2 linked regions of the Mytilus edulis genome follow. The protein of the gene in region 1 purifies or fractionates together with the protein of each later gene. This does not show direct contact. Links are inferred from orthologs where the notes say so. Each region holds a gene or a part of one and is shown on either strand. Other genes may lie near its edges. The genes, in order: cleavage and polyadenylation specificity factor subunit 1-like and pre-mRNA 3'-end-processing factor FIP1-like.

What was found.
Region 2: the proteins of cleavage and polyadenylation specificity factor subunit 1-like (region 1) and pre-mRNA 3'-end-processing factor FIP1-like fractionate together in Homo sapiens (co-fractionation; 8 studies listed by BioGRID and IntAct, with this or other methods). This does not show direct contact. The link is inferred for Mytilus edulis from reciprocal best matches to the Homo sapiens genes CPSF1 and FIP1L1.

What each region holds. Positions count from the first base shown.
Region 1 is NC_092348.1:925,103-942,300, forward strand, and holds the start of cleavage and polyadenylation specificity factor subunit 1-like, read right to left. Parts: upstream 7,764-17,198; 5' UTR 7,633-7,763; intron 4,891-7,632; 5' UTR 4,880-4,890; coding exon 4,736-4,879; intron 3,580-4,735; exon of another isoform or gene 3,562-3,579; intron 3,133-3,561; exon of another isoform or gene 3,132-3,132; coding exon 3,095-3,131; intron 2,353-3,094; coding exon 2,222-2,352; intron 1,143-2,221; coding exon 1,062-1,142; intron 320-1,061; coding exon 27-319; intron 1-26. UniProt on the Homo sapiens protein: Component of the cleavage and polyadenylation specificity factor (CPSF) complex that plays a key role in pre-mRNA 3'-end formation, recognizing the AAUAAA signal sequence and interacting with poly(A) polymerase and other factors to bring about cleavage and poly(A) addition.
Region 2 is NC_092351.1:28,661,684-28,677,692, reverse strand, and holds the start of pre-mRNA 3'-end-processing factor FIP1-like, read left to right. Parts: upstream 1-7,651; 5' UTR 7,652-7,709; coding exon 7,710-7,776; intron 7,777-9,411; coding exon 9,412-9,445; intron 9,446-10,507; coding exon 10,508-10,571; intron 10,572-12,986; coding exon 12,987-13,117; intron 13,118-16,009. Other genes in the region: uncharacterized protein, read right to left, coding at 3,171-3,356, 4,862-5,545.

The sequences.
Region 1 (17,198 bases):
AACATAAATACAGCTAGTGTACATACCCAGCCCATGTCTGGAAAGGTTCATATAACATAAATACAGTTGGTTCATAATAACCATGTAGAAACTGAAAATCTTTAACATTGGTGATCTTCTCATCAAAACTTTTGAGATCAATGATATATGATGACATGATAGGTGATTTCCCTCCTCCGGAGATATCAGAGTCCTCTATGACAGCGTCTCGACGGAATGGCAGAATAACAAGTCTTGTTCCGTAAATTAACATTGCTGCACATCGGCCATCAGGATCTACTCTGATTTCTGGAATGCTGTAAGTGACTGCAAATCCATCCTGAAGGGAGAAAACAAAATAATTACATATATGGCATCTTTTTCTACATATTCTTATAAATAATGTTACTTCACTGTGAACCAAAAAGAGTTTCCTTTCCTAACAAAAACATACATGAGAAATAAGTTAATTTCATATTGTAAACTTGAGACAGACCAATTCATTTCCAGAAGTTATGACTTGAGTAGTTAACCATTATTTTTATATGGTAACCCATGAAATAACATATGTTTCATGTGGAAATATTTTCAGACACTCTCTTATAGCTAGCTGATTTTATTTTATTGGTACTCTTTAGAGGGTGTTTTGAGTAAATAATTTCCTTTAATTTTGTAAATTACTCAAGAGTTGTTGCAAAGGTCTGACACAATGCATAATGGTAAAGAAATAAATTACACACAAAATAAACTGATAACTACATCCTATTTTTCTGACTCATCTAGAAAGTCTCTGATAAAAATCACAAAAGTGAATACAAAGTATCATTTTGTGGTGACTTTCATTCTAATCCATGCATTTGGCTAAAACAACATAAAGAGATGGATGTTAGTAAAATGAATCTATTTAGTTCTAGTGTCTTTGGCAGGGACTACAATATAATGGATTTACCACATTCCCCATTTCATTCTCTATTTTATTAAACATTTTAATTTAAATACAAAATAATTGATAAGGCCTAAAGTCCACAAACTTAAAATCCAAAGCAAATGACCATGATAACTGTTGTTCTTTATATAATTACCTTCAATGCAGGTTCCTCAAAGTAATGTAATGATGTTGTTTGGAGATCATGGGTACTAGGGTCATACTCAACTACTGATAACTGAAATAGAAAAGGATTGGCTAATTACAACAATGAATTCACAGAGGAATATAACATTGATAACTTAAGATAAATTATGACCAAATTAAACTCACATATATAACACATTTAACTATATTTAATTGAATTGCATCTTCACAAGACAATTATATTTTCAAAAAAAAAGCTGAACTGAATACATGCATGGTTTGCTAATTCCAAAATCATGACATTTAAAGTCCATCACAGTTCACTAATTTCACATTATACATTTATTGAATTTTGATGAGGGTCATACAATGATTTATCATCCCCAAACGATATTCCATGAGGCAAATGGCCAAGAGTGAATGCCATATCTCAGGGGATGATAAATCATTTTATCATATACTTAGACTAAATAACATATGATTTTTACTGTATGATAATAGCGTTAAATATACGTAAATTCCATATTTTTTTCGAATTGGTGCTTAGCAGGCTGATATGAAAAGTTTAATACATGCTTCAACTTTTTTCACATGCCTTTCCATAATGTTATTGCATGGCATTCCAGTGATACTCGGCAAATTTCAGAAAAATACACATCAATAATAAGTTTTATATAAAAAATATTACAAAGTAGGGTACAAAACAATTATTTGGATAGTGGAAAGTATTTTGTGTAAAATGGAAAAAACAGCAATAAACAAATGATAAAATAAATGCATTTTTAAAAGTTTCAAACATTATTTAGAAAGTTACTTTAACAAATGTTGACTTTTCCAAACCGTGCTCATTATGTAAATTGTTGAATTATTTTTTTTATCGTCCATATTAAAATATATCATACTGCTGTTTTTCTTATATGTTGAGGCATATGAATTGATAGAAAGGTTTCATATTGAATGTACTAGATTGGGGTCTTTGAACTTCTTTTTGTTTTTTTTCTCCATTGTTGATAAAAAGATCATAACATGTAATTTTTCATATTGCATGTATTATCAGCCCTCAGTCAATATCAGTCCTCCAGCCATGCGGCTCCTGTGCCAATATTGAAACCTAGGGCTGATAATACATGCGATATGAAAAATGCCATGTAATAGTCTGATAATATTTACCTTTGCGTCAGAAAAACTTAGTAAAAGTGCATCCCTGTTTGCTCCTGGTAACTTAACAAACTGTAGAGACATAATGTTACCAAACAAACTGAAAGTGGCCAAGCATTCCAGTTTCTGCTTTTTTCTTGTCTCTACAAATAGATGAAATGTATAACTTGATAGGCAAGACTTTATTGACAATTGGACTATACCTACTTTTTTTACAACATTACTTCATTAAAAGCCTAAATAAACCTTTGCTTTTCCAGTTTAAATTGTTTTACACTAGTCATTTTTTTGGCCCTTCATAGCATGCTGTTTGATGTGATATGAAGGCAGTACCTTGACCTATACTTGTTAACTTTTTAAACATTGTGACTTGGATGGAGAGTTGTCTCATTGGCACTCATACCATATCTTCTTATTCCCATATTAAATTCCATTTCAATCTCTTTCAATATTTTTTTTAAAGAAAATTTCAACATGTTTAAAAATTTTATTTTTATTTATATCTATATAAAGCTGACTCTTAAAATAGTTAAGGTACCTAAAACATGTATGCTTTGTTTGAAGAGTTTCAACAAATTTTAGCCATTATACTGTGTTTTGGAACAAAACATTTCTACAGAAAACACTTCTCATCACAAATTTTTTAAACAACAAACAGACAGGCAATTCCAATTTAGAAACAGCTTCCAAACTAAACAAAAACTGTTAGAGGCCATACCTAAACTGACCTGCTAATAGATTTATTGTTTTAAAACAATCAATCAAACATAAGAATCAGAATGTGGTTATGTTTTTCTCTCTCAATACATGTATATCTTTATTTTATATTATTTATATGATTCAATTTATATGCCATAATTGATATACCTAGTAGGTATTACCTACCCTGATTTTGTTCTGTAACATTCTTTCCAGTATCATCCTGAAAAATATCAACTTCAAATGTATAAATAATAACGTGGAAGATTAAAATGGTTTTACCTGTTCCTAGTCAGTTTATCAGGACCATATGTTGTTTGTTGTTTTGCTGTGTTTGTACATTCTTTTTTCAAAGGCATGAACAGTAATGTTGGTAACTCCTGCTACAGTGTTATACTTTTTTGGTGAATCAAAACGTTCAGTTGGAGAGAATAGTTTGAGGCAATGAAAAACAAAACAACATGACAAATTGCCAAATGATAGCTGTTAACATTGAATGTTTTACATCCTATTTCATTTACAAGTTCCCTTATAATTATGTGCCTGATCCAAGTCAGAAGCCTGTAATTCAATAATAGTCATTGGTTCCTGAATTGATTTTTGATTCATCAGAATTCAAGCCTTTGGTTTTCTTGTGTGCATAGTTTCAAATTTCAGTATCTGGGTTAAGTCTATAACTAAACTGTGTCGTTAACCTTGGTCTATGTGCATATTAAACAAAGGACACAGGTGGATTCATGACAAAATTGTGTTTTGCTGATGGTGATGTGTTTGTAGATCTTACTTTACTGAACATTCTTGGTATTTACAATTTTCTCTATCTATAATAAACTTGGCCCTTTAAATACAGCGGAAAATATTTTGTAAAAATTTACAAAAATTTACCAAATTAGTGAAAATTGTTAAAAAATTGACTATAATGGGCAATAACTCTTTAAGTGGTCAACTGACCATTTGGGTCATGTTGACTTATTTTCAGATCTTACTTTGCTGACCATTATTGCTGTTTACAGTTTATCCTTATCTATAATAGTATTCAAGATAATAACCAAAAACGGCAAAATTTCTTTAAAAATTACCAATTGGGGGGCAGCAACCCAACAACCAGTTGTCCAATTCATCTGAAAATTTCAGGGCAGGTAAAGTTTGATAGTTATTGACTTGATAAACAACTTAACCCCTTGTCAGATTTGCTCTAAATGCTTTGGTTTTAGAGTTATAAGCCAAAAACTATATTTTACCCCTATTGACTGGGTCACCGTACACATTTTTTAAAACTAGAAACCGAAATGATGATTGTGGCCAAGTTCAGAGGAGAATCTTTTTGTAAAAGGTAACGACGACAGACGACGATGAACACCAAGTGATGATAAAAGCTCACTTGACCCTTTGGGCCAGGTGAGCTAAGAAGGGCAAAATTTTCTTAAAATTACCAATTCAGGGGCAGCAACCCAACAACCGGTTGTCAGATTCATCTGAAAATTTTAGGGCAGATGGATCTTAACCTGATTAACAATTTCAGATTTGCTCTAAATGCTTTGTTTTCAGAGTTATAAGCCTAAATCTACAGTTTACCCCTATGTTCTATTTTTAGCCATGGAGGCCATCTTGGTTGGTTTGCCAACCTCTGCAAACAAAGCATGTAGAAAAATGTGTTATTTATTAAACATTCATCGGTACCAAAAAAAACCCACAAAAATTGGTATCCAAGGAATAAAAATAATAAATCCACAGTATTTGATTACCAGCTGCTATAACTAAGTTCTATTCTAATGTATTAACATTGAATGTTCTACAACACTCCCCCTGACAATATCTGGTACAAACCTCAGTATCTGGGTTAAGTCTATAAACATGAAGTTGATTGACAGCTGCTATAACTAAGTTCCTCTCTGATGTGTTGAAGAAATTACAGTAGACACAATGTTCTATGCCTGTCGGTGGGTGAGTCTGTTTGTATACAGAATACATGATCTATTGATCTGCAAAACACAGGAGAAAGTTAATGCATATGAACCATTATGCATATGAAAGATTGTAATTGAGCAATGAAATCACTCAAACTAAAAAAAATTATCTTATCATATAAGATGTATAATACTCTCTAGGCCAATGTTCTACTCAATATTGAAAATAACAACTTGGATAACAACTGTCATATGTATAAATTATGCATCATACAAAGTTAGAAGGCAGCACTCTCAGATAAATGCAGAGTGATTTTTCATGATATATTCACGGACTGTGATCAAAATTATCTATCTTAATAACTTATACATATGGTGAAGCAACAATTTAAAATGAAATTACATCACGATTTAAAACAGCTGTTATCATGTTATTTTTTCACAAGAGAAAGACATTGCAGTATCAAGACAAATAGACACCTCACTATGACAAAAAAACACCTTATCTATTTTCAACATGTAGCTTTCATACCTTATAAATTATTGCTTTTTTAATCATCAAAAGGTTTTTGTAGCATTATAGTTTCTTGTCAAATTCTTGATACTGGATTATACTTAATAGGGCTTAACAATTATAATGTTTACGACCATGTAAACATTATCGTTGATTACAATTATATCTATTTACAGGTAAAAACAAATTCTCTAAACTTTTTAGATCACACAATCATCGTCTTGTAATCTACAAACACAAGCTTTGCTCTTTCTATATCTATGGCAAAAATCTTATCATGATTTCTTTAATAAACAGAAAAAGCTTTGCATGTATTTCAAGATGCCTAGTACTGTGCTGTTTCTACATGTATGCATTTGAAATAATTGTGCTGCTTATGTGAGAATAGAAATGCCCTTCAATGTTTACTGTCAGTCATCAAACAATCATTTGTGACTACCTTTGACATCAAATAGGTTAAAATTTTAAAGTGATTCATCAAAATATCCTTATTGTGATTTGTCACAAGTCTCAAATAATTAACATTACTGTTACTTTTGGAATAAAATTAGCTTGATAAGACATCTAAATGAAAGTGTACATTTTATCGTCATGCAACAAAAACTGCTGTTATCGACTCGTCATTTCATTTTTGGTAAGAATTTTTACTGTTATCCTTCATAAAGGTATCTCCACTACCCACTTATATGTCTTATCTGGTTGTGTGTTTTAATGTTATTGTTATCTTATTTATATTCTCAAGAGCTTATATTATCATGCTTATGTTTGTATTGCGATGTGTGAACTGAATAAAAAATAAAGTTTTCGTATGCATATAAAACCCCTCCTGTTACAATTGCAATACACCATATCAGAGGGGGGATAGGACCTTTATCGGGACTCCGGGATCGGGTGTTTATAAGCTCGAGATTTCGGGATTGACCCTTTCGGGATCTGGGAATTCTATTTTTTGAAATTCGGGACCTCAGGATTTCGTGTTTTTAAGCCTGGGATTTTTCGGGATCAGGACAATTCCTAACCCACCTCATATCATATGGCTATTCCTGGCTGACCCAAGAATCTGTCCCTCTTAAACTATTGACGTCATACAACAGTCACTTTTTCATCATGGCGTCAGATATTTTGAATTATGACGTCAAAGTTTTACTGGAACCTGTGAGATGTGCAGTAATACACCTTATCGCTAATCCCGGCTGACCCGGCCCCTTGAACTTTTAAGGTCAACAACAATCACTTTTCGATTGTGGTGTCAGATATTTTGTTTTATGACGTCAACATTTTACGGGAATCTGTGTGATATCCAGCAATGGCGGACAAATAGCGATAAGGTGTATGGCGGCCAAATGCTGTAAATTCAGAAATTATTGTGAGGTTTTTATTAATGCAAATAATGCGACTGAGTGAGTATAGCAATAATAAGAACTGGCATTCTTATATGGGGACGAAGTCCCCTATTACGGTAGAAAAATAAATAAAAAAAAAAAAAAAAAAAAATCGGGAAAATTTCCCGAATTTTTCATTCTACTAATGAACTCAAAATCGTTAACTTTTTTTCAGATCTACTTCCTGTTCCTGTTTTCTTCGCTTTTGCGCAGATATCTGTCTTGTTTGCATGAGACTATGAAAAAATTTATATTTATCAGTCTAGTAAAATATAAGATTGGATCTCCATACAAATTCAATTTTAATAATTGTTTGATATGAAAAAACGTTACCTGATGAAAGCGTTTCTTTTGTTTACATCGAATATGACGTCATAACTTAAAGAACGTCACAGCTATAATTCCCTAACAACAGAATCAAAATCGGGAACGTTACGTACGGTATTTCGGTTTCTTTTACTCAACGTGATTGAATTAAAAAAATAATACATACAGACTTCGTCCCCATTCACAGGTTATGCCTGCCTCATATTATCTGATACATATATCTGTATGCAAATGTTCCTGTCATTACAATAATGAATCAAGCGTATTTGTCAATTTTTCAAAAAATCGTAATAATAAATGCATGCAATAATTTCTGAATTTACAGTACTAAGTGATAACGTGTATTATTCGTAGGTCCCCCCTTTTATTAGAATCCTGGGTTCACAACAGCAATCTCCCAATACAATCATAAAACTCCTTCGTAGACACCTTATTTAGAGGTAGTTGTCCTTCTAAAGGTTGGATATACACAAGTTATATCCAATCGGCTTGATACAGTTTCAAACTGAGCTTGCCGGGTACACAACAACCATATTTTTTGATTATTTGTACATGATGTTCTTCGAAAGAACAAGTGTCATATAAATGACCTACTTGAATGAAGTTGTGGGGCACTATGTTTCCATTTTATTACTCAATATTGAAGTCTGTGTCCCTATTTTAAACACAATTTGTGAAGAAAAAATATTTTCATGGAGGTCGCCATTTTTTATAACTATTGTTTCGAATTTAGAGGAAACAAATTTTGAATTCTTAAGATATCCCGCAGATCATCTAGTTTTTTAATATACAAATATTCTTTTATAAATTGATTTGTTCAATTACATCTTCTGAAAAAAAAAATACGACAGTTCGGTTTAGCGATAAGCAGCTGTTAATTTTAATATTTTTTCTGGAGCCACAAGAAAATTATCCAATGAACTGAACTTGAACGGTATAGTTTTAATCAGGTAAATTATACGACAATCGTTTAAATTAGATTTAAACAAAAAATTTCATTATATTTTATTTCATAATCATGCATGAAAGTAAACATTAGTATGCATGGTATGGTATTTTTTTGAACATGATATCTTATTCTTAGACCACTTTCAAATATATATACAGATATATACTTGTGCTCTTTCCCATCAACTGGTTGTTTCGTTGTAAGAACAGAAAAAAACCAACCCCAAAATGTTGTACCATAACCAAAAAATCAATTCTAATCTTCCTTTTGTGTATTGATCCTTCTAGTAAAATTTCATAGAGATCCATTCACTAATACTCAAGTTATTGTGTGGAAACCAAATGTGTCTTCTCGAAAACAACTATGACATGATTAAGCATTACTCGAAAGCAAATTTTTGATATGATTGTATTTCCCATGTCCATTCTCAATTTTATTCTGCTGTCATATAAAAACTTGAAAAGTAAGCTACATCATGTACATGTAACAAAAAAAATATATGCAAGAAATGACATAAAACTGACTCTGAATACATGAGACTCACAAACTGAAGATGATCAGGAATTCAAATGTTTTTTTATTCGAGTCAGACTTTTTTCACCGAAGCCTTTCAGCGCTATCAATTAAAAATTATTTAGTCAAAATTTAACACTAGTATTAAGGTTTATCATAACAAATTGGCAAATATGGCCATTATCACCTAAAAAACTACTGTGTACAGACTTATCTGTGCGGTTTGGGAAGTTTTAAATGTTTTTAGATATATAAACATGATAAAAGTTAAATTTATTTTGCATATCTGAACATGCTGAAAGATAAAATCATTTTTGGTGAAGGTCTGGATTCAAAATATTTTTTTTGTCCTCTGCTTGAACAGATTTTTTATTCATCAATTTGGGAATCAGGATATTTTTTAAGGAACAATACCATAACCCCTCCTGCCCTTTCAAGTTCAATGATCATTCCCTAAACATTTTCCATCTGAAATTATAATTTATTTTAGACTTAAACAATATGTTAATGTAGCCTGGGACATTCGTTCTGAACATGCATGAAATGTTTGCCACTGGACGTTAAACAACCAACAACCAATCAATATATATAGGACATTGTCTTAGTATTTATTTAATAGTTAGCAATACAGCTTATAGGTATATCATAAATATGTACATGTATAAAGCTGGCATTTAAGGTAGCGCTTCCTCATATTAGAACTATTTACATACAGATCCACTTCAATGACTTTTTGCTGAAAAATTAAGTCATTAAAGTTAAACATGTTAAAATAATGTCACCTTAAGCAGATTCCAAAAAGAAAAATTTCCGTCAAAAAGAACAAATTAAGAAAAATAATGCTAACTGTTATTTGAATGATAATATGTGAATGTTTTATTGAATAGTTATGCTATATAAAACAAGCAAACCAATTATTGGATATGATTTTTGCCATTAAAAGTAGAAATGATCACAACAAGTTGAAAAATGTGAAATGTTTGTCACCTTAAGCAGATTCCAAAAAGAAAAATTTCCGTCAAAAAGAAAAATTTCCGTCAAAAAGAAAAATTTCCGTCAAAAAGAACAAATGAAGAAAAATAATGCTAACTGTTATTTGAATGATAATATGTGAATGTCTTATTGAATAGTTATCCTATATAAAGCAAGCAAACCAATTATTGGATATGATTGTTGCCATTAAAAGTAGAAATGATCACAACAAGTTGAAAAATGTGAAATGTTTGACGGAAATTACTTCCCATTTTTTGACACAAGGTTCATGTTTTACCATGTTTACGAGGCTTTAAGTTGACACTGGTATAATGGTTTTTATTAGTGTATTCTGATTATTCAAACATCTCTGTTTCCAAATCTTTTGCTTTTCTTTTGTTAAAAACATCTGTGATATATATATGTATTTTTTCAATTTCAAATACATTGTTTTTTGTACCTTACTTATTAGATGTTCGTCTATCAATAAATGTTATAAATGTTAGCAACAGGTTCATAAAATCTTGCAACATCATTGTAGGTACCTATATAAGCCTGTTAAAATTGTATTTCATAATGTACATTATACATACACATGTTGGATCTTTCAATTTACTTTATTTAATCAATAGTTTTATAAAATCTGTTGCTAACATAATTTCTGTCAAACTTGTCATTTTATGTTAGCAACATTTGGATGTGCTACAAATTAGAGTTATCTGTCCTGGGTTAAAATCTTTTTAAATTTCATGCAGCGGTATTTTGCAGGAGTTCTTAATATGACTTTCAACTAGGATAAGATGTCCAATGTTGGTTAAAAATCTCAAATATATAGTATATATTGTCCGTTAAATTTATTTATGTTAGCACAATACTATGTTAGCAACAAGTCCGTCAACATCTTATGTTAGCAACACTATTTATTCTGTCAAATTTTATGTTAGCAACAATAATGTCCGTCAAATTTTATGTTAGCAACAATAACGTCCGTCAAATTTTATGTTAGCAACAAAAAAGTCCGGCAAATATTATGTTAGCAACAAAAAGTCTGTCAAATGTTATATTAGCAACAAAAAAGTCCGTCAAATATTATGTTAGCAACAATAAAGTCTGTCAATTTTTATGTTAGCAACAACTTAATTTCTGTCAAATCTTATGTTAGCAGCATTGTTCATGTCTGTCAAATTTTATGTTAGCAACTCCAAGATAATCCTTTTTAAAAGTTATTGCAATTCCTTTTTTATTGGTGCAGATGTTCAGAAATGTTTTATTCCAATTTGCCTTCCATATTAAATCAAGATATACATCCACACCTAGAAAATACTGAAAATATCAAGATTTTTAAAATTTTTGTGTTGCTAACATAAGAATTTTTTGTCAAAATGTCTGTTAATTTTGTTATGATAGCAACATTTTTTTAAGGTGGTCTTTATTTAAAAAATATATTAATGTGCATAGATCTATTTTTTGTCAAAAAGTGTTTACTTATATAAGTATAACATGAATTCCAAAACAGAACTTCATTGGTGTTGATTTTGTTAAACATAATTTTGGGAACTTTTCAACTTTCTTATTTGGAATCTGCCTAATGTTCTTTTCATAATCTTCATGTTTGATATTTCCCTTGACTTATATGTGTGTTTTTAACTACACGGAAAATCAGAATTCAGCAGTATTTATATTTTGTGTTTTTATGAATTTAGAAACACATCAGAGGGAATTCTCCAGTTTTGATAAAAATGTGAGAGTTCTCTGAATTCCGATCAATCTATTTCTGTCATATATAAGAACTGAAGTGGAGTACATCTTATTATGTCACCGTTATGAAACTGATATTTGATATTGTACTTCCATATTAAAGAAATAGAGAACCATCTTGGTCGTTTAATTAACATTAAAATATATGTTCTTGCTCCAGGGTTTGTTTAGGTAATTATGTGCATGCGTATAGTTTTCTTCATTTCAAGGGGTATAAGATTGAATGGTTGCTCTGGATCCCCCATTCAATTGATTAATTTAAAACTCATGTGATCCTTTCTATGTATGTCTGCTATTGAGGGTTATTGTTGTTGCATAATTTTAAATTATATGCATCATTTAAATTAAAATAAATGTAGTCCACATCGTAAAGGTGTAACTACAACCCCCCTTCAGGCGAAATGGAGTCTTCCATATTATAGTTTCGAGTTGTCTCCCTTCCAAAGTAACATTCATCAATTCTGAATCAACAATCAAAATACGATACAACACGTCGAGAAAAATTAACTCGTTCTGTTGATAAACTTCGTATTATATTAAAAACGATCGCAAAGGAGTAATGACCACTGACCCAAAGGAAATTAAATATTTAAAGAGTTAGGAATGGGGTTCCTCCTAGAATTAACGTACAGGAAAATAGGTGACAAGATTTACGAAGTGAAACACCTTCTGTCACTCTGAGTCTCAGTGACTGCTGTGGTAAATAAACTTGGAATTGATAGTACAAAAATAAAATACAATAAGTACATTGTTCATACACTTGTATCCGGGATTGGATATTTTGTAACTATTCAGATTACCATGATTACGTAAATTACATTTTACATGTGCAGTTAAATAGGGCTCTTCACGGTTAGTTTGGCCATATTGGATAGGGGGCAGATTTTCATAATGGAGGTAAAAAAAGTGTGAAAAATACAGGAAAACGTCATTAAAACAGAGCAGTTGTTTGGAAACACATGTAGGATTTCCCATACTTTCATACTATTTCCACCTCTTTCTAAAAAATCTGCCCAATATGGCTGAACTTACCGTGAAGAGCCCTATTAGTTTTCAAAATAATATTTTCCAGCTACATGTATACATGTGTCAATGAAAACAGTGGCAATCGTATCCCTCAGAGCAATCTGCTTTTTGATTTACCAAGTCCATGAAATAAAATTTTCATTTAAAATAAAAGAAATTCAAAGATAAATACCATATTTACAGTTTATTGCATGTTATAATTTTCTTAAATAGACATCTTTTTATCATGAAATTGAGAATAGAAATGAGGAATGTGTCAAAGAGACAGCATCCCGACTATAGAGCAGAAAACAGCTGGAGGCCACCAATGGGTCTTATCATGTTTATCACTTCTGTTACTAGAGAGCATGCATCATTCAACAAATCATTCTAAATTAAGTAAGATAAGTTAATTACTTCATTAGAACAGGAAAACAGTTGCCTTAAATTAGTAAATGTTAAATTTATTGCATTAAAATGTCAAATTCAGAGTTTGTGAAAATTTGATTTGACCTGTCAGCCATGGGACTGACAAAAAAAGATTTTGTGTTTGTCCTTCAAAATTTTGCTGACCAGTCCTTCACCATCTGTCAGTTTTATCCTAAAATAAAATTATAACATATATTTTATCAAATAAATTAATTCATATTCTCATCACAACCACAGGCAAATTTATAACAATGACAGACCAGTTCTGGTCTAATGGTTGTTCTAATTGAAAGTCATCTTCATTGTCCATTTCATCATCTGAATCATTAGCTCACCTGACCCGAAGGGCCAAGTGAGCCTTTCCCATCACTTTGCGTCCGGCGTCGTTGTCTGTCATCGTTAACTTTTACAAAAATCTTCTCCTCTGAAACTACTGGGCTAAATTAAACCAAACTTGGCCAGAATCATCATTTGGGTATCTAGTTTATAAAATGTGTCCGGTGACCCGGTCAACCAACCAAGATGGCTGACATGGTTAAAAATAGATAATTGGGGTAAAATGCAGTTTTTGACCTATAACTCAAATACCCAAGCATATAGAGCAAATCTGACGGAGTAAAATTATTCATCAGGTCAATTTCTATCTCCCCTTAAATTTTCAGATGAATCGGACAACCCGTTGTTGGGTTGCTGCCCCCTGAATTGGTAATTTTAAGGAAATTTTCTGTTTTTTGTTATTATCTTGAATACTATTATAGATAGAGATAAACTGTAAACAGCAATAATGTTCAGTAAAGTCAGATTTACAAATAAGTCTACATGACTGAAATGGTCAATTGACCCCCATAAGGCGTTATTGTCCTTTATAGTAAATTTTTTAACAATTTTCATAAAATTTGTACATTTTTACTAACATTTTCCACTGAAACTACTGGGCCAAGTTCATTATAGATAGAGATAATTGTAAGCAGCAAGAATGTTCAGTAAAGTAAGATGTACAGACACATCACCATCACCAAAACACAATTTTGTCATGAATCCATCTGCTTCCTTTGTTTAATATTCACATAGACCAAGGTGAGCGACACAGGCTCTTTAGAGCCTTTAGATTCTCAGTTGTGACAGTAATTGTTGGTTTCATCAGAAGGTCCCACTAAAATCTATAATTTGTAAATACTTGACAGAACTAGATTTATTATTTGGTTTCATACAACCTTACTGAGTGATTTACAGATGAATTTTTACATTGGAATAACACTTTCGACATATTCATGATATTACCATTAAAGTTTTGTGTAGATCAGAATTATTATAAGTTTCTGCCCTTGTCATGTGTTTGTGAATTATGGATATTATGTGGAAAATGGATAACTTCCATGATCTTTCTAATCCTTCTGTATCTTTCCTCTCTCTTTCTATACCAAGAAGACATAACAATGATAAATGACATAAAACAAGTTATCAATATTTATCATGTTTATGTATGTTCCAGACCGTATGAGTATTTGGACCGTACGCGTACGGTCTGGACCGTATGCGTACTTTTTCAAAATACTCATACGGTCGGACCGTACGCGTACGGTCTGGCTTATATTAAGAAGTTGGCAAAGTTGATTAGAAACATATAACAGATCAATTTTATTTAACTCTCAAATTGATATAAAAAAAGGTTTACTGTAATTGTAATTGAAAAAAAACCTTTATATTTAAATGATTTTAAAATTCAAGCTAATTAAATCTGTTAATCTCATGTATTTAGCATGTCGATCACTCATTAAAATAATTGAATTATGATCACTAAAATTGAAAATATCGGAAGTAATTAGTTTTGGAGATCAATTGTTTTAGAATATTTAGCAACTTTACCAAAAAATGCAAATGATAAGGAACATTCACGAACTACAAAAATGTAAATGTAAAAAATATTAGTCCGTTACTCTTGGTAGCAAGTGTAACATTGGTTGAGAGTAATTAGGATCAAGATATATACAATTAAACAAGTATTTTAAAATTTCAATTGTTCATTTGTTTATTTTATCCGTGTAATTGTATTAATATTAATCATTTTAAAAAGTAAAACTAAAAATAAAGATTGTGATTAATGTTAATTTGTTTAGATTTAACCCATATGACCTAATAACATGTATTGTCAGCTCATACTGGACCATACGCGTATACTCATACGGTCCGACCGTACGCGTATGGTCGGACCGTACGAGTATACGTATACGGTCCGGACCGTACAGGTACGGTCCAAATACTCATATGGTCTGGAACATGTATAAACTTCTTAAGGTAAGTTATAATAAAAAGTTAAAACAAAAATTTACTTAAATGTGGGGTTCAAGCCTATCAAGGTCTGATTTAATAGAAGGAGGAAATTTCCAGTCATAGATTTAACCCACTTTTGATATCAAATATTGTAATTGAAAAATGTTTGTTGTTATTTTCTTAACAAACATTACTATAAAAACCAAATTTATCCTTATTACATGCATTGACATGTATTAAGATCTTTGAAGTATTGTACTTTTGTTTTTATTATATGACAGCAAAAAGATTTCTGGTTGTATATTGGTATCAGCGTCGTCCGAAGACGGATGGTTTCCAGATAATAACTTAAGGTAGCACAATACAAAGATTTTTTCACTCCCAATCAGACAACTTTAAACTGATGGAATTCATTTTATCCTTCTTTATATTTTATAAATGAGGAACTAAAAGAAAGAAGAAAGATTAATCTTTCAAATTGTAACAATTTCATTATGACATAATTATTACATATAATCAATTGTTATGTAATTAGTTGCTATATTGTGATGTCCACACTTGAATGAATTTAGCGTCTTTGTTCTTCATAGCATCCCAAAATATTTTATAGATTCTTGTACAACACAGCTTGACCTCCAAAACTATGTCTCAGATTTCCAAAAACATCAATAGAACAAATTGTATACCCAATTGAATTTAATAATCTTTTATGAATTGATGTTGCAAACTTCATTGAAGATTTATGAGAGAATGACATACAATAGGACAAATCTGAGACTCGGTTTTGGAGGTCAAACTGTGTTGTTTAATTTTGGACCCTTTGGACCTTAATGTAGACCAATTTGAAAACATGACCAAATATTAAGAATCTAAATACATGGTTAGATTCCGCATATCAAAGAACCCCAATGATTCATTTTTTGATGAAATCAAACAAAGTTTAATTTTGGACCCTTTTGGCCCCTAATTCCTAAACTGTTGGGACCAAAACTCCCAAAATCAGTCCCAACCTTCCTTTTGTGGTCATAAACCTTGTGTTAAAATTTCATAGATTTCTATTTACTTATACAAAAGTTATTGTGCAAAAACCAAGAAAAATGCTTATTTGGGACCTTTTTTTGGCCCCTAATTCTTAAACTGTTGGGACCAAAACTCCCAAGATCAATCCCAACCTTCCTTTTGTGGTCATAAACCTATGATATGTTATAATTTCAGAGATTTCTGTTTACTTATACTAAAGTTATTGTGCGAAAACCAATAAACATGCTTATTTGATCCTTGTTGGCCCCTAATTCCTAAACTGTTGGGACCAAAACTCCCAAAATCAATCCCAACCTTCCTTTTATGGTCATAAACATTGTGTTTAAATTTCATAGATTTCTATATACTAATACTAAAGTTAGAGTGCGAAAACCAAATGTCTTCGGACGACGACACCAACGTCATACCAATATACATGATATACAACCAAAAATTTTTCAATTTTTGCTGTCATATAAAAATAGACTGTTGATCTAAATCTATGATAAATTCTTCAGCAATGTCAGCTGAAAATAAAAAATAAATTGATATCAAACTTTAGGAAATGAGACAATTATAGGAAAAATTGCTACTTTGACTTCTCTTAAAAGGTATTTAATCTAAAGATAAAAGCTGATAATTAGATTATGTTAATTGTAACCTATTAAAATGATTTAGGATCACCTGTAGATACATCAGTAATTGTATGAGAAACACCTGTATTTATTGATTTATTATATATGGATGTTGACTTTCATACATAAAGGTATGGTTATCAGGCTAATAATATTGATACATTTATATTGACCTTGTAAACGGAACTCAAAACGTCCATTTGGCATGTTTGGATTTAAAATAATTTAAAATGAAAATGGCTAAATTTTGATAATCAGTAAATATCAGGTATTCTCTATCTTTTAGTTGTATTAAGGTAGGATTGAAGGTAGATTCACATCATCAACAATCAAAGGTGGCCTTCATATTATTATTTGAAAATTTGATATAGAACATGTGAAATTTGAATGTTTAATCCCCATTTTATTTTCAAAATGATACCAACGTCTTGAAATCTCATAGTAATTCAAATGTATCGGTCTTTCATTTTGTAGAAAAAATTGGATGATAAAAATTCCTTGAAGATGACTCTTGAAAGTAAATACATCAGCTTGTAAGTTCTATTCTGGTCATCTGGGCCATAATAAATAATAGGTTTGTTTGCCCAAATGCTACCTACCCAGAAAAA
Region 2 (16,009 bases), on another chromosome or scaffold:
AAATTTTGCAAATTATTCAAAAGAAATGATTAGTTGAAAAGTCAGTTTTGATAATATTTCCAGAATTATATGAAAAAGGGGTGAAGATGAATGCAATCAATTTTCAGTGGTTTCATATAGCTGTTCTTCATCTCAAATTGACAGTGCTGCTTTTAACATAGATTACAATCATATACATTGCCTGTATTTCAAGATAGTCCCTGTCACATAACTGAAGTAATGACCTGAATATTTGCTACACATTCTATAAATCATTAATTGTGAATTGAAGAACACGTCATGAAATATTGTCTATTTACAAGGAAGATATGTATCTGGTCTATACACTGTGTCTTGTTATTTTTTAGTGCATTAGAATCTTGAGATCAACATTGTTGCCCAAATTAAGTGGCTGAGAGGACACCATCTTTTATAGCATAATGTGAAAAATGTACAACACTAGCTTTAAGGTCTTCCCTGTCAGATCTGCCTCATAAAAATTAAGGAACAAGTCAACAAAGAAAGCACAGTTGTTTCCCCATAGAAACTACTGGGGTCACTACTGTTTTGAACTATCTGTTGGAAAACCAATCAACCAACCAAAAGTTACAAATACATATATTTAGCTTCAAAATGCTCAAAGTCAGTTCAGAGGACTGCTTCATAGAATCTGATTTTTACAGAAAATGAGTTGTCCCTGGAAAAATTAAGATATTTTTTCCAAATTGTCCTCCCAGTTAGAGGAAAACCTGAGGGTTATTTCTTTCAGTCAATTTATAATTGGTTGAGAGATTCATACTTCTATGACATAAGGGGAGTGACTGGTTGTATTTACCAGGAGATGTTTGGTAGATTATTCACATCTGATTCACACCCCCTCTTGACTTAAGTTTCCAGTAACTCTGAGGCCCCGATTTTGAGGTTTTTTGAAGACCCTGAATATTTTGTTTGTATGGACATAGAGGTTATTTGTGTACTCAGCAGAGTGATGGAAGATCTATTTTTTCTACTTCTAAATAGAGTTTAATGGCGGCTACCCTTGCTTGTCATTGATTGAAATCTTATATAAGATAATCCTTTCTTATGCTAATTGCTTATTGGCTGGGTTGTACAACAAAGTGGACACATTCTAGATGATGAAAATTGATTAGATTTCACCTTGAATAGCCGAAAGTAAGATTTAGGGAAGCTGTTTATGACGTCGGCATCAATGATGTGTTATTTGTGATTAGGTCACTTTATGAAGAACAACAATTATAAAGTCAAATATATTTAGTTTGCATTGTATTAGCATTGTAACATCTCATTTCCATGGAGATTATTTGGCCCAGCCCCTTTGGTTATGGTCTATATTTGTTGAAACTTTTGCTTGCTTTACATGTGATAAGGAATGATTAAGGGAAACCACCAGTGGTAGGCAAATCATATAATCTTGGCCCTGCCCTCTCAGTTATGGTCTATTGACTGAAACTTTCTCTTAGTTTTCATGCTAAAGTCTGTGATTAGATCAGTTTATGGGGGACTATTAGTGGTAGGTCAATGACATTTGGTATGCAGATGTATTAGTGTTGGCATTTTACATTCTATGGCAGTTGTCTTGTCCTTGACCTTCATTTATTTGAATGATTTGCATAATTTACATGTTTTTTTGTAGGAATACCTGTTCAAGGTATGAAAATAGATGATGTGACGTATTTTAATGTACTATAATGAGCATCTATCGGGCTATTTAAAACATGATTTACCTATCTTATCGAATGAAAAGAATTGAGGGGAAATTGGCCATACTTCTTTGTTTAATCCACATTGGCTATAGGTATAGGGGAGTTTTGAGATCTAAAACAAGTTTAAACCTCCCACCTGTAGCCTTTGTTAGTCCTTTGTGTTTTATTAACTTGGTTCATTTTGTATGTTTAGGAGTTTAGTAGCCATAAAGCTAAACTATAACAATAAGAAAAAGTGGTATGATTGCCAATTAGACAACTCACTACCAGAGACCAAATGACATAGAAGTAAAACATATTATTATAAGGAACCAGCTAAAGCCAGCCTACGAGTTAAGATTTTCTCATTGCACTGAAGACCTAAAGCCGGCCTTGGACCATTTATGTCAAGCCTTCAACTTTAGTCGAAAAAGCAAGACATAGTGATCCTGCAGTGCGTCGTCGTCATTGACGTTGGCGGCGTCCACAAATATTCACTCTGTGGTTAAAAGTTTTTGAAATTTTAATAACTTTCTTAAACTATCCTGGATTTGTACAAAACTTGGATAGAAACATGTTTTTGATCATAAGAAAGTATCAAGAAGTAAATTTTGTAAAAGCAAAATTCCATTTTTTCTGTATTTTACTTATAACTGGGCTTAGTTTTCTGCCAGGAAACAACACATTCCCTCTGAGGTTACAACACATTCCCTTTGAGGTTACAACACATTCCCTCTGAGGTTAAAGTTTTTATAATTTAAATAACTTATACTATCCTGGATTTGTACCAAACTTGAACAGAAGTTTTTTTATGATCAAAAGCTAGTATCTAGAAGGAAATTTTGTTAAAATTTTATACCTGTTTATCTGTATTTCACTTATACATGGACTTAATTTTTCTTCAAGTTAATAATACATACAGTCTGCTGTTAAAGTTTTTAAAACATTTATTAGATTCATAAACTATCCTGGTCTTAACAAACTAGGACAGAAGCTTCTTTCAATCAAAAGATAGTATCAAGAGAAATATTTTTAATGATTTTTTTCCTCATTTTTGTTGAGTCTGCAATTAATAGCAAAAGTAGGCTTGACACTGGGTTCCAGGGAACCCTTACAAATTTTCTGCTCTATTGTATGGTTGTTGTCTCTTTGATACATTCCCTGTCTCTATTGTCTTTGAAATAATTTTAATATGGAACAGTTTAAATCAATCAAGTGTTATGTTTGCTTATTCTTTTTGTGTGAAAAATGTGTATTATGAAATGATGATTGAAAACTACAATTCAGAGAAACATGAAATACAGGTCTGTGTAATAATATTTATTTCAAAGCCAACATATTCTTCAAGGCACACCAGTAATTTCATTTTCATACTGACACTATATGTGTCACCACCAGGAATACCCCAGATCAAGTTCTAAAATCACTTTAATTGATTCAATAAAAAACAAAAAAACATCCTGAGTTGCATTCTAGTAATCAAAAAATTTATTCTTTTTTGTCCCCATCATCTTCTGAAGTTCCATCAGCTGTTTTCACTTTATTTTCTCGAGGTACATATACTGAGTTTATGTAGCCTTTATCAATATTGAATTTGGAATCCTTAATGTAACCTACTGAGTCAAGTCCTTCTGTTATCTCTTTGTGAACTGATCCAAGTAGTCCCTTGTTTTGCTGCAAGAAGAAATAAAACTTGTGAAAATAGCTCTACATGACTTTAGTTCTAATTATCAATTCTCAAGAAATAACACTTTTGTCAAAATTATAAAAAAACAACATGTACCAGTAAAATAGTTTCAATTATAATCAGTTTCATTAGAACTGATCACAAAACACAGTCACATTTAAAAAAATACAAAACAAATCTAAATTCAAACCAATGTCTGCAGGCACTATTAAAAAAGTTCAGGGATGTTGAATCTTAATTGCATGTATTTACAAACATTTGACCATGGGTCATAATTTAATCAAAAAAGAAGCAACCAAAACAGAAAGAAAATTCATTCTTAACCTTACTAGGATGCAGTTAAAAAATCAAAATAAGACAGTAAACACAACAGTCATGACAGTTATTTTTTTGAAAGAACAACTTAATGAACTAGGGGAGCATAAAGTGCCCAAATTGTTTGTTTGTTTAAAGGGAAAGATGGACAGAAAATTCATTCCTTATATATTCATGACATTAGACAATATTAAATTTAAGTCAGTTTGTGTAAATAACATGAATAATTATTTTAATACTTCAATGTTTAGTCATTTTTTCAGTCATATTTCCAGCCATTACAGTATAAGGAAAACTCTTTGGCAGAAGGAGATTTCAATTAGAGCAGGTATACTTAATGAATTTTCAATGCTTCATTTTTTGGTACATGTCTATAACCTTTTCAAATAAGTATCACATAACCTGAAGTTCATAATAAGACAAGTGCCTGTTCAACCAAAATTTACTAAAATACACATGATACATGAGGTGGAAATCAATCAAGACTTCTTTGCCATGTATAGAAAAGACTCATAGTGTCAAATACATGATATACAACAAACAAATTAAGATAAGTATTTTTTTTAAAGGGGATGTACATTAAGATGCTCAAGGCAATTTAACACCAGTCCTTTCTATTGATGAAGACTGAAAGCAGATGGCTAGACATCCTTTGCTTAATTATTTTGGTTGTTATCTCAATAAATACACTATCATTACAATATACCTTGCATCTCTTTTTATCCACATTTACAGCATGATAAAGACATTGGACTTTTAGTCTCATTTAACATGTTTTATTCACACAAGCATGTTGTTCAGTAATTCATGTGCTCATGTTAACCACTTCAGTCAATGGTTAAAAAATTAACAAATTTCTTGAAAGGGGAGATAATTTTACATTTAGACAATATATATATATATATAATATATGTAGTAATATCATGATGCAGTATTAAATTTATTTGCATGGATGTCTTGCATTTATCATACCATAAAATAAGGTCAAATTGCTGAAAGAACCTCTAAATCTTGAAATTTTATCACTTTACATTAACCATAATATCATGGTGTAAATTAAATACACCACATGTACATTGGGCTAACATTCTCAAGGTTGTGTCTTAATACATATCCCTATTTGAAATTTTCAATAAGTTTTATATATCAAAACGTTAAAACAATAAAGCCAACTCACCTCATTTTTAGCAGCTGATAGAACAGTATTGACTTTTCTTCCTTTTACAAGTATTTTAACCATTTGATTGATTTTAATCTGGAGATCATGGCCGGCAATTTTTGTTTCAATGTCAAAGCGTTTTGGGCTCTTTTCCTTCGGTGTCTTCTTCTGTTCTTCCTTTTGTTCTTCTTTTGTCACAAGTTTATAAGATGGGAATCCTTCTGTAAATTTTCCCTCTAATTTAGCTAATTTGAACCCTTTACTGTTGGCATATTCCTTAGCCCCTGCTAATGTTTGCTTTCCAATTAACAGATCTTCATTAGAAAACAACTGAATAGTGTCAATCAATTTCACCAACTTTACACGTTTCACATTATTAGATTCATCAGATGATTGTCCCTTTTTGTTATCATGAATTTTTACCTTTTTAGGGAACTTTTTATTTAGATTTGGACCACATTGATGAAAATATTGTTTATCTTCAATTCTACCACATTTCTTCACATGGCAACTTTCAAAGAGATTGCTACTTAAATTGCCAATTGTAACACATGTGTATGTTCTTGATGTTTGTGTTGAGCAATGAATCTTTGAAAATCTGGCTAAGTTTGTCATATGATTGTAATGGGTTATTGGTGATAATGAAAGAAGTCTGAATCTGCAGAAAGTCATCACAGCTATTGGTGATTTAACAAGTTTCATGTTGCTGTTTTTCCCTGTCTACAGACTACAGTGTCATCATGGATATGGCATTCAATCCTGTATAAAAGAAGAACAAAGTATTTCAATATTTTGTATATATATACACTGTTTAAAAAATGAAAATATGGATTTATATATTACATTTATACAATAAAACATAACGAATAGAAAAACAAGATCAGATGACCTAACCAGAAGGTAGGAAAAGATTAAACTTTGGTCTAAAGTCTATCTTTGCAATATTTTGAAATTTTTAATGAAAGAGTTGAATAAAAAAGGCAGATTAAATTATTTTTTTACAACGTATAGAATTTTGTGTAAAACTTCATACAATTTTCATATTTTAAATGTTTATTTTAAAGGAGGAGATTGAAATAGTAGGGTACAATCTATATGGGCAGACTTATCAAGTTGGAAAATTGCAAGCCATTGATCATTATGATAAAAGTGCAAACCCTGACAGTCTGCATTGACATGATTGATGAACATATATATCAACTCAATAAACTCAGTAAAAATACTGTTGTCAGGTCATTAAGGATTGCATATTTTGGAATTAATATTGATTGACTCATAGGGCTGTTGCATCGGAAATAAACACATTTATTCTAAAACCAATTGTTGGCATGATACAGGTTATGTTCTTCTCATATATTTTATTTTGTTGTGATACTAAACCCCTATTTAGAAGGATTGTGCTTGATTTCCATATGATGAAGACATAATCTTTCAATCAGTTTCAATGAGGTCTGGAGCTGGCATGTCACTAACTGCTAGTAGTCTTTTGTTAATTTATGTATCATTAATTGTCATTTTGCTTAGTTTCTTTTGTTACCTATTCTGACATTGGACTCCAGAAGTCTTTTAAGCTGAGTTTTACTGTGCGTATTGCTGTGTGTTTCCTTAATATTTTACATTGGCTAGAGGTATACATGGTATAGGGGGAGGGTTGAGAATTGAGATCTCACAAAGCATGTTTAACCCCAACATATTTTTGCACCTGTCCCTAGACAGGAGCCTTTGGCCTTTGTTAGTCTTGTATGTTTTTTAATTTTAGTTCATTTATATGTTTTGGAGTGTAGCATTGATGTCCATTTTCACTGAACTAGTACACAATTTTATTTAGGGGCCAGCTAAGGCCCATCATCGGGTGTGGTTGAAGACCCATTGGTGGCCCTGAGCTGTTATCTGCTCTTTGGTCGGGATGTTGTCTCATATTTCCCAATCTTAACAATTGAATATGATTGATACAATCACGATCCTTGAAAAAAACTAAAACAAATTTATTAATTGATCAACTCAATAGTGGTCAACCTTTGACATAGAGATCAAACAGTTGATTGAATTGATAAACTCTTAAACCATTCTAAAAATTGAATACGATTGAAATAGTGACCCTTAAATATCAATAGGACCATAAACAATACCCCAATACCGAGCGTATATGGCTTCACAGCTTGCTTTTAATAGGAAAATCATATGAAGGAGATGCATTCATGTACATGAAGTCATGATGTACAGCACAACTTGCAGGAACTAGAAATGCGCAACATATTTTCAAACAGTATTTGCAATAATACAGACTTTAGTCTAAATAATAAAAATAGACCGTTTTTAGACGTCAAAAATTATTAATTGGACTAGTTCGGACTCCAAGAGATTTCAATCAATTTTACAGTTTATATAATTTGCCAGGACTTGCTTGAAAGCCACAGGCACTTGTCTCCAAAAAAAATCCTATATACAATGTAGAGGTATATATAGAAAAACTTCTGAGCCTGTGTTGAAAGCTGATCTTTGTTATCTGAGACTGATATCTAACATTTTGCCTTTTTTATGAAAGAAAAGTTAATTTTGATCATTTTATCCGCAAGCCATCAAAATGTTCGTTATAAACCCACTATCAGGGGATATTCTGAGACAGGGGACATCAAATATTTATCTGAGAGAAATATTCATACCTGTAATTTTATGGACCTTTATTTTATTTTCGGTATTCAGATAAATTACATACATCGAGTTTCGTAGTTTTTACACTATTCTATCATAAGATGATACATGGATTATGCATTGGATATAAATATTATATCTGAAAATAATTTGACCCGTTTTAACAGTTCGATATAAATAATTCGAAACTGAAAGAAGTAAAATTGTAAACACGATGGCGGCTGCCGGTGTAGCTGCACCACAAACCGGCACACAAGACGACGAAGAATGGCTTTATGGGGGTAAAGTATTCGATTATAAATAAAGGCATTACTTGATGAATATGTTAGCTTTGCTTCAGGTTGTTTTTTAATGAACAATTGCTGTTGCTAGAAATAGAAGTCTACGTTTGTCACTCGGATTTTTATAGACAAAACTTGGTACTCCATTTAATATAGCATTCTATTATTTTTAGTATTTACCTTGACAACTTCATTAAATGATCTGTAAAATTCATATCGTAAATTCCCTCATCGATCAGACGTCATGATTATGTGGACCAGTGCCAGTAGTGGTTTCTAAAAACATGGTTGAATCATAGGGGCTTGTTTAGTGGGTCAGACGAGGTTTTACTGTCAACGGCGATCGCTATCCTATATAAAATACCTTGTTTTTGTCCGCCAGTACTGGACATTACACATGCTTTGTATAAAAGTGACACCTAACATCCACGTATTCCAACATCAATCCGAATTCCGATAGCAAACAATCTTATTCGGAAGACTCTGTATTAAAGTGACAGCTATTTTATATAGGATAGCGATCGCCATTGACAGTAAAACCTTGTCTGACCCACTAAACAAGCCCCTGTGGTTGAATGTTTTATTTTCAAATGTACCTTATCACTATTTGTCCGCCAGTACTGGACATTACACATGCTTTGTATAAAAGTGACACCTAACATCCACGTATTCCAACATCAATCCGAATTCCAATAGCAAACAATCTTATTCGGAAGACTGTATTAAAGTGACACCTAACATCCACGTATTCCAACATCAATCCGATTTCCGATAGCAAACAATCTAGTTCCGAAGACTCCGTATACATACTATAAGTATTTTATTGTAATTATATTACAAAATATTGATCACATGATGCTAGTATTACTAGACTTGCAATAGACCACTTTCGAGTTCATCCGTCACCGGAAAAAACTCGTCAATTATACGCGCCTTTATCATCGTCATTTGTGCGTTTAGGGGCGTCGTCACTTCCTTCCAATGTTGAGCGAGTGGTTGGAAAACTATAATTCTATATTGTACGAATTATTTGGCAAATATGAATTCTCAAAATTGACAATCAACACTGCTGTCATTAAGGAAATGTCAGTAAGTACCTACAGAGCAACCATTATTTCTAGTTTATCCTGCACAAAGACGATCACTAAGACGCTTGATGAACGTAAATAGTGCAGGGATACAGGCGAGCCCCTCTATCTGGTAAATGACGTCATAAAGGCGTGTATAATTGACGAGTTTTTGCCGGTGACGGATGAACTCGAAAGTGGTCTATTGGTTTACATCAATCCAAAAAAAAGTGCATTCATAAATTAAAACAATGCATTAGTAAACATTGGGACCTACTAAAACAGGATGCAGTTTGCAACGAAATATTTTCAAGCAAACCAATAATAGCTTATAAAATGCATATAAGTATTGTAGATCTATTGACAACGACAAAATTAAAATAAATTGATATACATGTAGGTAAATCCCTGATGATGACGGGCCTACAATGCTTAAACCCTTTCATAAATGTTATACATTTATCATTCGCATATAATACAAAAAAAAATAAGATGACTTATCTTAGGAGCGAAAAATCAACACCTCCATTCATACATTCGTAATTAAAAAAATTTTGTTTTGTTTTAGATGATAATAAAGAGTCGCAAGAAAAAGCTAGTGGGTAAGCTATATGGCCTATATATCTGTATATGAAATAAACATTATAAAATACTGATGTATCTCTTTAAAGAACATGTTTGTACAGTGAAATATAATAAGATTGAACATTGGTAAGATACCAATAAAACAACTCATAGAAGAATAACCTACAAATTCTTAGATTGATTGAAAGGGAAGTGCTAAATATTTATGATATTGCATGTACATTTTATTAAGTAATTTGTCATATTATACATACTGTTTTCTTGTCAATTGAACTTATTTTGACAAAATTGAATTAAACTTACTGCTATTAAGCAAAATATTATTTCACAATTCTTCTTTCATATTTTATTTTTTTGACAAAAACGTAGCTTACATGTATTAAGCCCCTTCAATTAATATCTAAGGAAATGAAAGTTTCTTATCTTCCTCAGTATATTGAGTCAGTTTTGGTCTGAGACCACAATTGTCGTCCCTTGATTTTCGTTGTTCACAAATATAGTCCCTAGTGCTGACAGTGGGTTACTTGCCATTAATTTTTATACCCCTTCCAAATTTATTTCTCCATGTGTAATGCCTCAAATTGCAAGAAGGGGGGTGAAATTACACTGTAAAAAAATTTGGGTCTCAAATTTTTAAGGAAAGTAGTGATTTGGTCCAGCTGAAAAAGGTTAAAAATTAGCACTTCGGAAGCTGTTGAAAGATTTCAAGACGTTCTAAACATAAAATTGTCCATATTTTGAGCTTGAGAAAGCGCAGGTGGTTTTTTTTTAAATTTTCATTTATGTTCTAAAAGAAATGCACTACGAAATAATTGTGGTCTCGGACCTTTTAGTTGAATAACATGAATAATTTACAGCGCGATGCATATAAAATAATTACACATATATCTGAAATATCTTGAAATCTCTGCAGTTCTCTATTAATATTATTTTTTCATTTCTACCTTTGCAAACATTCTACATTGTACAAAATGTATATATATCATCCTACTGTTCTCTGGCACTCCATTTTTGAAATGCACTAGTCACATGCTAGTAAAGTATTTAAAAAAAAAAAAGTGTTATATTTAATATAACAGGGCTGCTGACCCACCTAAACACAGTAGATCTGACAGAAAGGATGACAGAGAAGCTGGAGAATTGGTAAGGTATCAAATATATTAAGGATGGAAGACTTTTGCTTCCAAAATGATTTGTGCATGTGTACAAAAAAGAAATTCCATGTATATGAAACCATATCAATACACAGTTAAGAATAAACTAGTTGGCAACAGCAAGTGAATTAAAAATTGAAGATGATAATTTGATGCATGTACAAAACTACATAATGCATACTTTCTAATTGAGGTCTTTTTGAAAATCATTATTTAATTTTACATATTCTTGACACAAGGGGCGTATGACTTTTGCGCCGATTTTTAAAATTTTCATTCTTTCATTTGCGCCGATTTCATTTTTTCATTTGCGCCGATTTTTTATTTGCTCCTAATTGGATTTACAGGTAAGTTAATACTTGTACATGTACTATACCGTGCAGGTATATTGGTAAAATCTGTTTATAAACATAGGTTTTAGTTAATTTTGATTCATATTGTTCTGAACTTTGCTGTAATTGATGGACATATTGCACACTGCAACAAGCCGAGGAGTCAATTTTTTTAACCATCGGCGGCCACACACATAAGTACGTTAGCAAGACAAAGAAAAGATGGATTACGTTATTGACAATTACAACAAATATAGAAGAGACGAAATCACATGAAAGGAACATATTAGATATGTTGCCTATAAATACTCAGCAAGAACAGATTTATGATTTTAATGTCTTCCGTTTTATGGATTTGAATGCTGTAAATAGATTTTAAAAAGTCATTTTAGTATAAACCAGAGTGTTTTTATCTAAGGGTTTTACTTCTTGATTTTAAAGTATGTAAATATCGTGTACAACTGGATGACAGAAGAGGTCTGTAATGATAAATATAACAAAAAACATGACTTGGATGGAGAGTTGTCTCATTTGCACTCATACCACATCTTCTTATATCTATTTACCTGTAATTAACCTGTAATTATCTGTAAAAAAATCGGCGCAAATGAAAACAAAAATCGGCTCAAATGAAAGAAAAAATCGGCGCAAATGAAATGCAGATTGGCGCAAATGCAAAACGCCGGACACAAGGTACAAGGTATAAATTTTAGTGGGCTTTATTTAAGGTAGATCATAGGTATAAGTTTCCTGAGATAGATTTTTTTTAAACTTTGCTAAAATGAAGATTTTTTTATGCTCTTTCCAAAAATATAATACAAAGGATGGGTCACCATGCTATTTTTCAAGCTGTGAGTTGTTGAAAATTGGCTAAATTTGCTTAAAATGATCATGCAAAAACACATTTTTGTGCATAAAAAGAAATCTATGAGATAGAATTTTGAAATAAATTGTGAGAAGGTAGGTTTTATAATATGTTTTCAGAAGATAAAAAGAAAAAATGGTGTCACCAAACTTGTTTTCTTGCTACAAGTAAAAATTAAAAATTTCCCTATCAGACCAGTTTATTTTTTTTACTAAAAGAGTTATCTCCCCTAAATGACTCAGTTAAAGAAAAAAAATGGTTCTAAAACACAAATGTTTGGTATTTGTTCAAATATTTTGGATAATGCAATAAATCAGCAAGTTTTCTTCATATAAATAAACAGTCTTACCAATAAAATTGCACATCTGTCTACAAAGGAGTAGGTCCGGTAAGGACCGATTTTGGCCTCAAATTTCAGGTTCATCTGACGAAAGATTTTGACCACTTTTTAAACACTTAAGTGTCTATTTTATTTGAATTAATTAGTTTATGTGAAAGATTTTAACAGATTTAGTCATTAAAAACGATCCGATTCAAGCTCAAATATGAAAAATCTACCTAATATGCCGAAAAATGTCACTTTTCAGATGGTTTTTGGTAAAAATGAAAGTGGCCGCATCCGTGTTCATCCTCAACCTTTATATATGTTATGTATTATCATAAAATACAACTTACATTTCAATATTAAGGATGAACACGAATGCGGCTACTTTCGTTTTACACGAAAACCGTCTAAAATTTAACAAAAATGCTAGAATTATGAGGATTTCAGTAATTTAGCATGACTTAATGGTGCTAGTACCGGATATATGTGCATTGTAATGTCAAAAACAGCCCATATTTATGTAGCAGAAGCATTCTACTGTCCAATAAATAACTAAAGGTTTACATTTTAACAATTTTGTAAAACTGCTATATTTTGGGGCCAAAAAGGGGTCTTACTGAACCTACTTCTTTATAGATTTGGGCATATAACTAGACTGATTGTGTACTGCGATAGTACAATCCAAGATGGCGGTACACCATGAATCTACCTTAAATGGTTGAATTTTATAAACTTCATGCTTATAATAAAAAAGGTTCTGCAACATTGTTATTTTAAAAAAATGTTTTCAAATCTTGGACAAGTTGAGCAAGTTCAGTTGTTTGACAGTGAACTTTATTTTTTTTCAAACTTTAAAAAATATCTTAAAATTTAATTTCACAGAGTGGAGAGGAGGAATCACAATCACAAGAAAAAGAAAATGCTGCAGAGCGTGAATCTGAAGATAGCGATGAGGATTCTGATGATGATGTTCAGGTCACGATTGGTGATATACAAACTTTTCCCATGAATGAGTAAGTCGTCTTTCATGGGCTACATATATATTTATTATTTGAACTTTGACTTTTTAACTCATTCCAATATTAACTGTTTAAAAATAACAGATATATAATAATGGTAATTTTCCCTCAGTATTTTCCGTATCAAGTTTATAGTTAGTCAGATAAAACAATCGTACGATTGACAAGATATCGACACGCAATTACGACTACATCGGTTACTGTAGTTTTGGTTCTTTGTGTTTTATAGACATATCGTGATTATAATCGTAGAAGATGACAAAATGGCGGAGCGTAGAAAATTGATACTCAAAATTTAAAATCGATGTTGATCTCTTATCTAGCGGAATAAAACTTTAATATCTATAAATTTTAGCCTTTTTATACAGAATGGACATAATATCAATTTTTGATTTTTTTGCGAAGTTTCCCTTTAAAATGTTAAACACAATATGTTAAAATGAATGCCTCTCATCTGTTATTACCACAATATCCACATTTTAGAAACCATTTTCATACACATATCGAATCAGATTTTATGACCGAAATAAAGTGTTCAGTAAAAACATCTGTAGGTACCCCCAAAAAGGGAATTAGCAACACCGATGTGGTTCGAGCAAGAAACCATGTTTTTTGGCCAGGCGATATCCCTTTTCAGACTTTTGGTGAACAATTATCATTAAGTTTTTTGGTATCCCGTTTCCTTTTTAACCTGTGGAATCATGCTAAGAGAATATTACACCAAATGCCAGCTTCCTCTAAACTTTTGTTCTAATTGTCAATCCTTAGTTTTTCTATACATTTAGATGCGTAAGTTCTCTCTGTTTAAATGTCTTGTTCATTTGAACAAAAACAAAACAAAAAAAAGCAGATGTTCCATAATCGTCTTCACCTATTGTTTTCCATGTACCACAAATAACATGCTCTGTTGATTTACAAATAGAACATGAATATCCATTGGACTATGGCTTTTAATAAACGAACAATACATGTAAAGTTATCGCTTTAAAGTGAATCTTGATAATATTTAATTTGAAAGTGTTCAACTTTATCTCTAAACTTTCAGTTGGTTGTATCTTTAAGATCATCCTCTGTGTTAAAAAGCAAAATTATTTCATCTACAAGGAATATGAAAGTATAATTTACTTGTGTCTAATCCATTTTGCTTTGATTCAGCAAATAAAATATGTTTAAACTAAACTATGAAAGTAAAAAATGATGATTAGTCTATATGTATTATTCTTTTTTTATCAAACAAAGGATCCTTAAATTATTTATAATCCCTGAAAAAAATATTAGGGAATTTGTAGAATAATTATTAAAATGTTCAGTGATTATGTAAAATCACTGGTCATTTTCAGGGATTATATATAATTACTAATGATTTTAGTGATTCTACATATTCCCTGAAAAATCAGGGATTCTACATAATCCCTGATTATACAAATTCACTGTAACATATATATAGATATGGTATGAGTGCCAACGAGACAATTCTCCATCCAAGTCACAATTGGTCAAAAGTAAACAACTATAGGGTAAAGTAAGGTCTTTTACGCAGAGCGGAACCTTGGCTCACACCAAACAGCAAGCTATAAAAGGGCCCCAAAATAATATGTTGTACATATATTATAGAATCATCATTGATCAGATTACAATGTATTTTATTTGGTTAAAACATTGTGTCTAAAAATTCAAGTTGAAAATGTTATACTGTGAAATCATTGTTATAATTAAGATACTGTAGCCCTTTTCACAAAAAATCTTAAGATACATTTTACTCTTAAGAGTAATCTTAAGATTTTTAGGTTTTTCACAAAAAATCTTAAGTAAATCTTAAGATTAAAAACTATCGTAACTTTAAGAGTGCTATTACCCGCTCTTAAGTATATATTTTACACTTAAGAGAAATCTTAAGAGAAATATAAGAAATTAAAATGGCTGCTATATTTCTTTTTAATATAATATTATAAACAGAAGAGCTTTAAGAAGAGATCACGTTTTTCGCGACCGGACCATAAATAATGGCCATTCAATTGCACGGTATCGTTTCCCAAAGCAGTCTATTTGGGTGATTTAACAGACACGCTCAGAGATGCCATTAAAAGAACTCCCAACAAATCAAATGCAATCCCTTCACGTATTCAAGAAGTATAACAAGACTAACAACACACATCAACTTTTTCTTCCGTCTTGTAGTAAATGAGCAAATTTGGTGTTCTCTATCACGTCCGCTATGGAATGAAACATTGCAAATTATGTTACGCCAATCCCGAACACTTACACACAACCAAGACTCAAGGTTGTACATATATTAAGAACGTTTAAGATCAATTAACTTATTTTCCAAAGCCTTAAATTTGTCAGTCTGATTATTGTACACTCAGTTTCAGAAATGGTCACATTTGGGATGAGATATGAGGGTACTCGAAAAAAGGGGGAATTGTCCGATGACCTGTTTTTCAACCTACCTTTATTCAATCCATTTCAACTGCACACATCTGCATACAAATGAGTTCATGTTCGGGTTTTATTAATTAGAACAACAACAGTGCATGCTTATCCGACTTAGAAATGTAGTAGTGGCTTTCAAAGCCGGAAATATGATTTATTATTACAAATTTATTTCAATGCAACTGTTTCAGCCATGAATTAAAAGGTAATACATTGCTTCTTTAAAAATGTTTGTTTACAATTAAAAGACATGATGGGTTTCATGAAAACACTTGGTATTCTGCATGTCTGACATTAATTTTCATATATAACTTATACAAGGTACATTATATATAATATGTACGTCCTATGTCCTTGCATAGAGCTGCAGAATAACTTGTCAAAAATAGGGTCAGACATGTTGATGACGAGTGAAAATCACAATAATAATCGACAACATTAAAAAAAAAACAG